Arabidopsis thaliana: one gene and its partners. The protein of the gene in region 3 interacts with the protein of the main gene of each other region in a pairwise test. Each region holds a gene or a part of one and is shown on either strand. Other genes may lie near its edges. The genes, in order: MYC2, TTL and DDL.

What was found.
Region 1: the proteins of DDL (region 3) and MYC2 interact in binary tests that used the Arabidopsis thaliana proteins (3 or more experiments, as listed by UniProt).
Region 2: the proteins of DDL (region 3) and TTL interact in binary tests that used the Arabidopsis thaliana proteins (3 or more experiments, as listed by UniProt).

What each region holds. Positions count from the first base shown.
Region 1 is NC_003070.9:11,799,538-11,803,137, forward strand, and holds the start of MYC2 (Basic helix-loop-helix (bHLH) DNA-binding family protein), read right to left. Parts: upstream 1,871-3,600; 5' UTR 1,377-1,870; coding exon 1-1,376.
Region 2 is NC_003076.8:23,554,267-23,558,100, forward strand, and holds TTL (transthyretin-like protein), read right to left. Parts: upstream 1,736-3,834; 5' UTR 1,596-1,735; coding exon 1,314-1,595; intron 1,234-1,313; coding exon 1,132-1,233; intron 1,047-1,131; coding exon 890-1,046; intron 714-889; coding exon 280-713; 3' UTR 130-279; downstream 1-129. Other genes in the region: MSI1 (Transducin/WD40 repeat-like superfamily protein), read left to right, coding at 1,846-2,190, 2,294-2,620, 2,786-2,938, 3,076-3,200, 3,313-3,408, 3,500-3,728. UniProt on the Arabidopsis thaliana protein: Involved in the last two steps of the degradation of uric acid, i.e. the hydrolysis of 5-hydroxyisourate (HIU) to 2-oxo-4-hydroxy-4-carboxy-5-ureidoimidazoline (OHCU) and its stereoselective decarboxylation to (S)-allantoin, a major ureide compound.
Region 3 is NC_003074.8:7,176,235-7,180,068, forward strand, and holds the start of DDL (SMAD/FHA domain-containing protein), read right to left. Parts: upstream 1,787-3,834; 5' UTR 1,638-1,786; intron 1,401-1,637; 5' UTR 1,367-1,400; coding exon 992-1,366; intron 532-991; coding exon 500-531; intron 421-499; coding exon 354-420; intron 243-353; coding exon 185-242; intron 1-184. Other genes in the region: AT3G20555 (uncharacterized protein), read right to left, coding at 1,966-2,157, 2,240-2,380. UniProt on the Arabidopsis thaliana protein: Involved in the microRNA (miRNA) and short interfering RNA (siRNA) biogenesis. May facilitate DCL1 to access or recognize primary miRNAs. Binds RNA non-specifically.

The DNA of each region.
Region 1 (3,600 bases), on a different chromosome or scaffold from region 3:
TGTCTCTCTGCTTCGACGTGGTTTAGTGGCTCTTCTCTACCGTTTGCTGGCTTTCTTCCTCGTTTCTTTGGACGTTTCTCTACTGCTACTTCTTTCACGACGGAAGCTTCTAGATCGGAGTGATCTGATTCTCCGGCGGTTTTATCTCCGAATGATAGAACTTTATCTTCGTTCAAAACCATCGACCTCTTTCTTTTGTTTTCGAATTGTGTTTGACCCGAATAAGAACTTGGATCCGGGTTTCCGGAGCTTCGTTTACCTTCATCGCCGAAGTTTAATATCTCGCCGGATCTTGGTTTCACTAAAGTAGAACTTGACGTCGAAAAATTAAGTTCTCGGGAGAAAGTGTTATTGAATTTCGGATTCTGGGTCTGAGAATGAACCGGACTCGGAGTCGGATCCAGATTCGGGTTTTCGGTTATTGTGCTTGAGCTACCGTTCTCAAACTGAATAGACTTTGAAAAAAGCTGGGAGCTAGAACTTGGAGCTCCGTTACCCGGTTCGTTAGATCCAGGTGTTCCAATCGGGTCATTAATCCACATAGACGGGTCGTTCTCACCTTGATCCGGGTCAAGATTCCAATTAAGACCCGATAAATCTCCAGCTCCGCCGTCGAAATTGAAAAGAATTCGAACCTTGTTAATAAGGTCCGAACTCTGTCGGATCGGCTCCGTTGACCCGACTTCCACAACTCCGTTCGCCGAAGGAATACACGCAATAGTATGCATCCCAAACACTCCTCCTTGCTTAGCCCGTTCACAACCCGACCCGGATAATTGATCTGACCCGGAAACCCAAACCGCGTTACCCGTTGCAAACGCTTTACCAGCTAATCCCGCACCGCAAGCGAAGCTCTGCGTCATCGAAACCAAGAAAAACCATTCCGTATCCGTCACCTCCTCATCAACAGCGTCATCCGACGGAGCAACACCACCGGAGATCAACGAGTTAAGCTCTCTCAACACTTTTTTCCTGTACTCCTGATCCGCCGGAGTAGAAAACGGCGGCGAACTCGATCTCCGTCTCGGGTTTGCTTTATCTTCTTCACCTTTGTAATAACCATCTCCCCATCCGAGCACGGAGGCGCCGGAGAAATCATACGACGGTTGCCAGAATATAGCGTAGGTCCAACCTTCGTGTGTTCCTTCAATCAAAGCTTGTAAACGTTGCTGAAGAGTCTCTTGATTAAATCCCGCCTGTGCCGGAATCTCCATCGCCGGCGTCGGAGTTGTTTCAGTCGTCGCCGTCGTGGTTGTCGTCGACGCCGGAGGCCATAAAGTTGAGATATCGGAAGAGCTCATGAAAGCTTCCATCATAGAAGCGTTGTCGTCGGTGGTCCAAAGATTCATCGTTGGTTGTAGCCGGTAATCAGTCATTCCATAAACCGGTGACCGGTAAAAAAAAACACGTTTTTAATGAGAGAGAGAGAGATAGGAGAAAGTCTTCGTAGTGGAGAAAAATGGAGAGCGTCTGCGATTATTATATGTGTAACTGATCTTGAGGGTGAATGTGTAAATTTGTTGTTAGGGATATTACGTGGCGAGATTTCATTGGGAAACGTGGATGGTTGTAAGAGAGAGAGAAGCTTCGATGAACTCACATCCCGATTTAACCCCATCGACTGTTGGATCGACGCGGTAAGAATTAAGACCGGAAGTGAGTGAGATCGTACGGCTGTTTGGTCGCACGTGTATCACACGCTCTTTAATGATTGACTTAGATTTTAACTGATTGTTTCTTTTGTACCAAAGAGTGAACTGTGAGCTCAGTGGAAAAACACTTTACTATAACTTTTCACCTATTTTTTCGATTTATATTTGTCGTTTTGTCAACTTTTAGAATATATTTTTTATAACAGATTAATTACTTATTTTATAATGTTATTTTAAAATATTAAAAATCAAAATTTAAGATTTGTAATCTCAATTATCAAATACTGTGTCTTAGCTTAATTAATTTTGAGATTTGCATATCTATATAACGTGAGTCGTTGCTAATAATTCACTAAAGCAAAAATTTGTGTTTGTCTTAATATGTTAAATTGCAAGAGAGTGAAATGCAAGTGAGAATCTCTATCTCCAAAAACGATTCTTGTCTGCTTAACTAATTAATTTGTTGACGACTAAATAAACTAATAATTTATTAATTTGACCAAACGCTATTATTAGCATATGCTTTAAGAAAGGAAGAACTCCTTTATAATATTTTTAGTTACATTCACATTTCACGATAAACACATGCTAACAACGTTATATTGTTTGTTTAATTTACAATATTAAAATTTTATTTTTAAAGTTCGAACAATAATTCAAGGATTAGGTCATTAGGTGAGTATGAGTGAATAACATAAATCATTTGGCATCTTTTCCTCCATGCATAAATTTATCACAATAATTTAGCATGCCACCAATATGGTCCCATTACTCCTAACCCTTACCTAAAAACCAAAAATAAAACAAAAAGAATTAAGATAAAATAGTATATATATATATATATATATATACTTCTAAAATTCTATCTTGCGAAGACAAATTCTTACTAACAAAACACTAAACTTATGTTATTGTGTTCTTGTAGATTTACGTTGTCTTGTGATAAACTCAATGATATGTCTTTATACGTTCAGATTAATGATACTCCGGTTGATTTTTCTTATTAAAACCATATTAAACTAAAGAGTATTTTACCAACAATAAATAGTAAAATAATTTTGGGATCTAGTATACCATTTTTTGTAAATAACAACCAAAATAACTTTTGAATATAATTTTCTGAGACATCTGTATTGGGTGAACTCGTCAATGAACGATTCAACAAACAGAAAACAACCAAACCATTGTCTGGTGGTTGTGAGTCGACTTTTGAACATGTTTACTATAAGAAAATTATGAGAAGATGTTACACTAAGTTTTGGCTAGGTGATTCGTGATATCATATTTCATGTCGACTTTGGGGGTGACGCCACTAGAAAACAACAATATCCCACTAAGTAATGAATAATTAGTGGGATAAATATAGAGATTTCCCCCCTTACTTCGAGAAATGAGATAACAAAGATGACAGTTTTCTTGTTATGTTGTTATGTTGAGCTTAGAATGGGGATGATGGAGTGTTCTGACTTCTTAGAGAAAATGGTTGAAATTTTTTAAGTAGAGAGTCGGGTTGATTAAATGAAGATCTTACTATCACCTTGTTGAAAGAGAGGGACATTAGTCGGGATTCGGGAACAATGTGGAACGTAAGATATAAATTTCCCATATGTTATTTCCTAACTGCATGAAATAAAAATATATCTGTTACCTGATCCAAATTTGTATGTGACCAATTCGAGTTATTCTTAGATTTAGAGAAATAGAGAATCATCAATTGGTGTACACTTTCGATAGATCGTCGAACATGATATAATGATCTTGATTGATTTGGCATGCTCGAATAGCTTATACAATGTGTTACATATGTTAGGTTAATAAGTGACTAGGATGACCTTGTAGAAGCGCCTCAATCTATGTATCTTTTGTTGATTGAGTTCCTAAGTAGCAATAATTTATTCATAATTATAATAACATATGTTCATATATATACATATGTATATAAATTTAC
Region 2 (3,834 bases), on a different chromosome or scaffold from region 3:
GGTATAGAATCTCCCAAGATGTTTAACATGGTAATCTATACTATCGTTGTCCTACTCACAATGAGTCTAGATCAAAGCTCGTATTTTCGCTAATTCATTGTTTGTTCTACAGAACTACAAATCCAAATAAATACTCGAATAGACATTATTTCATAGCAATTTTTATACATGTCGAATAAAGACTTCATTTCATAGCAATTTTGATACATGTTCCCGTAGTGGTACAACCAAAACAAAATGTGTTGGAAAGTTGGTGCCGCAGACAGCAGTAGCATAGCTCTAGCTCCCACGGTATGTGGAGAAAGAAAAAGGTGCAAGCAACAGTGGGACATGGAAATGCTCCCATTTCTGTGATTCTGTAACCTGAAATACAATGGAAACATAGGGAAAGAAGCAGCCTGGGGAATACTTTGCAGTGTCGAAGCTAATCCTATATGTCCCTGGATTCAAAGCGTCAACCAAATCCATCAGTGGCCCACTGCGCCCATCTCTATCAGTAGCTGATGTGCCCACACTGGACCAGACCCCACCACCTCCATGAACAAAGGAAGGACCGGTAGTACCACTCCACACTTCTAAGTGCACTTCAACACCTGCAGCTGGAGCACCACGTGAGACGTCTAAGACATGAGTCGTGATCGGTGGCCTACTTCTCTTGGGAGCTTTTGCTTCAGCTGCAACATTCAAATGCCCTCCAATGATTCTCAGACGATCTTACAAAGCGAGAAAGTAGAAAAGGTCACACAGATAACAAAGATAGCCATAAGGGTAAATCCTTGTATTCCAAAAGACACATACTTGATATCATACTGAATCCTAACAGGTTCAAACCCACACAGTCAAACACAAAACTTTGACAAGGAAAAGATTTGGTAAATCATCAATATACCTTGAGGTTTTGTTGAAACAGGAGAGCTAGAGCTGTCAGTTTCTGATATAACTTTAGCCTTATCGGAGAACAGCTTTGCCATTCGTAGCTCTGTTATTTTCATTTGTTCCATAGCAGCAATCTCAAGCTCCACTATTGGCCTATTTTCATACCTTTCCTGAAAAAGAGACGATTTGATGAATATGTAACTTTCTCATTCACTCACACTCAACAAAAACTGATTTGGAAATGCAAAAGTTGACCTTTAACGCATGGAGCATCTCAGCGTGAGTCCTGCCAGAAGCGCAAATAATGAAGATAAAGCCAAACTTCTTTTTGTAAAGTACATTCCATTCGGCAAGCTCCTAAGAAATTGAAAACAATTGATCATCAGAAGAAGAAATCACTGAAGAGATGAAGGAAAAAAAAAGTGAAGATCCATCACCTGTAAAGCAGAAGCAGAAGTTGTGGCAAAGGCGGTTGACTGTTCTGATACGCTCCGACGAGCAAAATCGGAGTTGATAGAAGGTGAAGGAGTATTCCCAATCTGAGGATGAGCAGAGAAAGCTTCAAGCCAATCTGTCACATTAACTTGGTTGAACCAGATGTCTCTTGCAGTATATATTGCTTCTTGAGAAGTTAACGGTCCAGACGTAGACATCTGCTTCGCGAATTCGGAGCTTCCACAGCAAACCTTCCATTCATCTTCTCCGATCTCCATCGCCATTTTTTCTCTCTTTTCTCCAATCCTCACTTCTGTTGACTGGTGTAAGATCAAAAGTCATCTAATTGGGCCTTTTCATAAACGGGCTTTTCAAAAATGGGCCTTTTCTTTATCTTCTTCCTTTTTTTATTCATCATCTTCTATATGTGAATTATTCAGAAACAGAAGCGAGAAGTTTCTTACAATTTGTAAAGAGATCTGTTTTAGGGTTTTGCCTTGTTCTTGTGGCGGGAATAACAAAGACATCGCCGATATGGGGAAAGACGAAGAGGAAATGCGAGGTGAGATCGAGGAGCGACTAATCAATGAAGAGTACAAGATCTGGAAGAAGAACACTCCTTTCCTCTACGATCTCGTTATTACTCACGCTCTCGAGTGGCCTTCACTTACTGTTGAATGGCTTCCTGACCGTGAAGAACCTTCCGGTAAAGACTACTCCGTTCAGAAGATGATTCTCGGTACCCATACCTCCGAGAGCGAGCCCAATTACTTGATGCTAGCCCAAGTTCAGCTTCCTCTTGACGATACCGAGAGTGAAGCTCGTCAGTACGATGATGACCGCTCTGAATTTGGTGGCTTTGGCTGTGCAACTGGAAAGGTGCGATTTTTTATTTTTGTTTCTCATTTCCAACTTTCTAGATTTGATTCTAGGGTTATAACGAGGTAAAGGATGATAAATGTTAGTTTGATTGCTTGTGTAGGTACAAATTATCCAGCAGATAAATCATGATGGTGAGGTTAATCGAGCTCGCTATATGCCTCAAAACCCTTTCATAATTGCTACCAAGACAGTTAATGCGGAGGTCTATGTTTTCGATTACAGTAAGCATCCATCTAAGCCTCCTCTTGATGGGGCTTGTAATCCTGATTTAAAGCTTAGAGGTCACAGCTCTGAGGGATATGGTCTCTCTTGGAGTAAGTTCAAGCAGGGTCATTTGCTTAGTGGCTCTGATGATGCTCAGATCTGCTTGTGGGATATTAACGCTACTCCTAAAAACAAATCTCTGGACGCTCAGCAGATTTTTAAGGTAATGCTTTGGATTTCTATTCGTTTTTAGTTTTGTTTTGTATCATCTAGAAAGGAAGGAATTGCACCCACTTAACGGAATCAGTTACACTTATGAAAGCTCATAGATAGATATTCAGGTTGGTTTCTGTGTTTTCCTTGCTGATGATTATTTTCTGAACTTAAGGCTCATGAAGGGGTTGTGGAAGATGTTGCATGGCATCTGAGACATGAGTACCTGTTTGGATCAGTTGGAGATGACCAATACCTTCTCATATGGGATCTGCGTTCTCCATCTGCCAGTAAACCAGTACAGTCTGTGGTTGCTCATTCGATGGAGGTGAGTTTGCAATATATTAGCTTTAGATACAGATAATACTTCTGGTTTTTAAGCTTGCTTTCCTTAACACTAAAAACCATTGAATCATATTGCCTCGTATGTATTTGCTAATTGTTGAGTTGTTTGAAATGCCTTAGGTTAACTGCTTAGCCTTCAATCCATTTAATGAGTGGGTTGTGGCAACAGGATCAACTGACAAGACTGTTAAATTATTCGATCTACGGAAGCTAAGCACCGCTCTTCACACATTTGATAGCCACAAGTAAGAATGATACGCCATAAATATTGCCGCTTTGAGATGGATTTTGTGTTACTAAGAAGTATTTACAAGTTACAGCAACATCACTAACCTTAATTATGTGCTTGATCTCCAGAGAGGAGGTTTTTCAAGTTGGTTGGAACCCAAAGAACGAGACTATTTTAGCTTCATGTTGCCTTGGTAGAAGACTTATGGTTTGGGACCTTAGCAGGTTTGGGCCGTAGACTTTAGTTCTTTAGTTTAATGTTCATGTATGGTCATGGAGGAGCAATATTGATATGTTTGAGGGTGTCTTATGATAGGATCGATGAGGAACAGACAGTGGAGGACGCAGAAGACGGCCCACCTGAGCTGCTGTTTATTCACGGTGGTCACACTAGCAAAATTTCAGATTTCTCGTGGAACCCTTGTGAAGATTGGGTTATTTCCAGTGTTGCTGAGGACAACATACTCCAAATATGGCAAATGGCTGAAAACATCTATCATGATGAGGATGACGCTCCAGGGGAAGAACCATCAAAAGCTTCTTAGCTTGTTATTTAGTATCCAAAGCGCACTGATCTTATGGGACAGTATTTATTTATACATCTCTGCTATTGTTTAGTTCAAGTATTTAGTGTTCATTGTGTAAAATGAG
Region 3 (3,834 bases):
AAAGAAAGCTTTTACCCAGTGACAGACACGTACGCATACAAAATTAAGTAAATATGACCTGACAACAAAGGCAGATGTTTCGCAGTTCAAACATGCAATGAAAACACTATGGCAAAAGTTTCTAGCACAAGGTAATGGTAACAGGTGATATTCTTAAATGAAATGGACGGATCAGAAGTTTCACCTCTGTATCTGTTAGTTTCTTCAGCAAGTTTCCCTGATAGCTCAAATGATGGTTCTTCCTACAAGATATATCAAAATTAGATTTGAAGCGTTAGCATTTATGCATGGATGAGCTAAGCGAGCTCAAAATGACATTGGAAATTGAAAATCAATAGGGCTTGATATAATACCTTTTTCTTCGCTGCCAGAGCCTCTTCAACTGCTCTCATTCTCGCGACTGAATCTTCCTCGACATTTCTGTTAACGAAAACCCATAACATGGTTAAAAGAAAGACTGAAAAATTGTAACGGCTAATCTAATAAGAAGAAAACTCACGGCTCCTCGCTGCCCCCTCTTGCATTAGACCCCTGAAAAGACAAAAGGCGATAAAAATGACTGAAGAAGTAACAAAAATCTGTGGCTCGCAGAAAATGATAATTTGCAGAAAGCAACCATAATCTATATAATGAGCTTTTACTAAAAAGAGAGAAACATGAGAAGTGATGTTACTGGACATGCTGAAGGGAAACAAAGAGACTATCTTTCTTAAGTCCTTTAGCAACAGAGTAAGCAAAAAATGGCTGGCTGCAGGTTCTAGTTATAGACTCACGAGATGGATAAGCTAGATTACAGGATTCCAATTATTTATTATGTGACGAAACAAGCAGCAGAGGCTAACCTTTTCTAGCATACATCAGAGCTAAACAATTTCAATCACATTTATCTTTTCAAGCAGAATACGAATATGCACAAGTAAAACCCAAAACAAAAAAAAAAACACTTCTGAGATTAAGAACATATCCAAGCTAAAGAAAGAAGCAGAAATACCTCATCATGCCTTGAGGCAATAGCTCTTTCAGGTGAACGCCTACTACTCCTGTGACTCCTATCTGACGGTGAAGTAGACCTCTCATGTCTTCCTCTAGAGTATCTCTCATCATCTGTTCTTGTCCTTCTCCTTTTTTCAGTATCCTCTCTCCCTGATCGTCTTCTCTTATCCCCAACTTCCCTATCTCTTTCTCCTTCTCCTTTTCTCTCCCTATCCCTATCTCTTCCTATATCTCTATCCCTTTCCCTACTGTTTCTCTTCTCCCTTTCTCTACCATCATCTTCTCTCTCTCTACTTCTCCCAATTTCCTTCTCTCCTCGAGCTCTTCTCAGTCTCTTCGTACGTGGTGAAGGAGACCTAGAACTAGGAGCCATTATTGGAGTCAGGGTCGTTTTCTCTCTTCTTTGCCTTTGGAAAGATCACAAATTGAAACCAGGGTCAGAAGGAAAAGGCATGTGAGCTCCAGATAACACAGTAAACCCTAATTCCCAAATGCATAGAAACTAGAAATGGAGCAAAAGCCCTAAACCAAAAAACGTAAGCTACAGATTTCAAATACTAAATTCAGAAGTTCCGGGCATAGTCTAGGGTTGCAAGAATCGTTAAGAGAAAAAATCGCTGCATAACGAGAAAGAAAAATTTTACCTGGTGGCCGGAACTGTGACTACTTCGGCGGAGAGAAGAGGAGAGAGTGAATAATAATAATCGCAGAGATAAAAAGAATCAGAGCCAAAACGAGAAGAATCATTTATTTGGCCTCTTTTGCAAATAAATGGAAACTGAGGGGTTCAATATCAAACAAATTGTAGACGGTATGGTAAAACTTCCATTAGTTGACACGTGTCATATCTTGTTTGGTAGAAAGGATATGTATAATTAGGGCAGAAGCCGCTTGTAACGTCGTACCCTTGTACTTCCTTCGAGATTTTTGTTTCTTCGTCCTAGTTTGCAACAAAGATTTTATAATTGATCATCAAACAAATCGGTGAGCCTGTAACAAATCGAGTGCACCAGCTTTACCACCAACTTTGATAGGATAGAAGACAAATACAAGATCATAGATATAGTTGAGGTGGATAGCTAAACGACATAAACCATCAGAAGTGACAGTGATCTTGTTCTGATTGTAACAGAGTGCACCAGGTTTACCACCAACTTTGATCCTCTCATGAAGGAACTTGTGGAGAGAAATTTTCAACTTCGAGGAACATATGTCCTGAAATCCCATCTGTAGTTCTCCTTACTACCGATTTGTAGTCGCAACTGTTGGCCTTGAAGCTTATGTGGAAGACAGCATTCATAGACTCGAGCTTTAGAGACGGGTCAGTATGAGTTTCTCGGGTGATGCTTTGGTTTGTCGGGTGATGGCTCATCGAATCCCAAATCATGTCTCCTTGTTTATTTGATGTATCTTTAGTTTCATGTATATACTAGTGTACGCCAATATTATAGACGATTAAAAACTAATTCTTGTTTACGTATGAACAAAACGATATGTACTTTGTCATTATTATATTTTTTGTCAAAGATTGAGAATATTTATTTTTTTCGCATCATAGACACACAAACAAATGTTGTCTAATGATCTACCAGCCGGCTTGTATATCTAATTCAAATATCGGTCATGCATCATGCACTTCATTAGTATCTTATGTTTTGCAAAATACTGGCTAGACTGTCACATATATCAGAATCGGTCACCGTCACCTTCTTCGTTATTGTCATACGGTTTCACTATGACAAAGTCCAAATTAGGTCAAATTTTAAGCGAACATACGTAGCCTCTTACGTCATAGATTGCTGATGAAAAAGAGGCAAATTATTATAACAACCATCAAAGATTCGGTACTAACTTTACAAATTCACACAATTCGTATCTCACAATCTAAAAGTGCAATATGTCGTACATGTTTTGTAAGCTAGACAATAGTAAAATAATTATCCTGCCGGACTATAAAGGTTCGAGAACGTGGACCGACTATATTTATATATCAATTAGCTATTTGTGGTGTTAGCCTAATGTTGCCTTCATCACGTTTTCTGTTTTTTTGTTGAAGGATTTTCAAATAGATGAATTGACTATCATCACCTTGTCACGTTATAAACCATATATATTATCGTTAAACACTTAGTAGCAGTTCCCCACGAATTACATGTCTCCATCATTGACAAATTTATATTTTTGTTTGTAAGAACACTTTTTCCTTCCTCAACAAATTCTTGTACTTAATACAGATATATACTTATAAATGTTACATCAAACGCTAGATAACGGAGAATATAAGCTAAAATGAAATTAATATATCTTGTTTCAGCTTCTATCGAAATTATTTTCATTAATGGACAATATAAAATTTGATCCTTATCTACTGTTTCTGTGAATTTGTGATTATCATCAGGCAAATGTATCATTAGGCAAATGTTTTTATCTAAATTAACACTTTTATTGGAAAACTACCAAAATACATTTAGGTTCACCCATCAAAAGTACTTTATGTTGTTATGTTATATATTGTGTGCTAACTAAAAAGATTACAATTTAGCAAATCTCAAGTTGATGTGTACATTTATAATCTCCACTACAACAAGAAGGTGATCCACTTCTCTTGTATATCTTTATTTGTTCTTGCACGTACATAAAGAAATCAAACTGTTCAACTGCCATTTAGAATATTAAAACCAACAAAATAATATTATAACAAGTAAATACTTAAACAATAATAAGAACAAAGGGCCAAAATCGTGCCAAACCTACAACATTCCTGACCTCTGCCTCCCCCACTATATAGAGGTCACATTTGAGAGAATTAGGCAAATAAAAATCTAAGAACCATTTTAATAG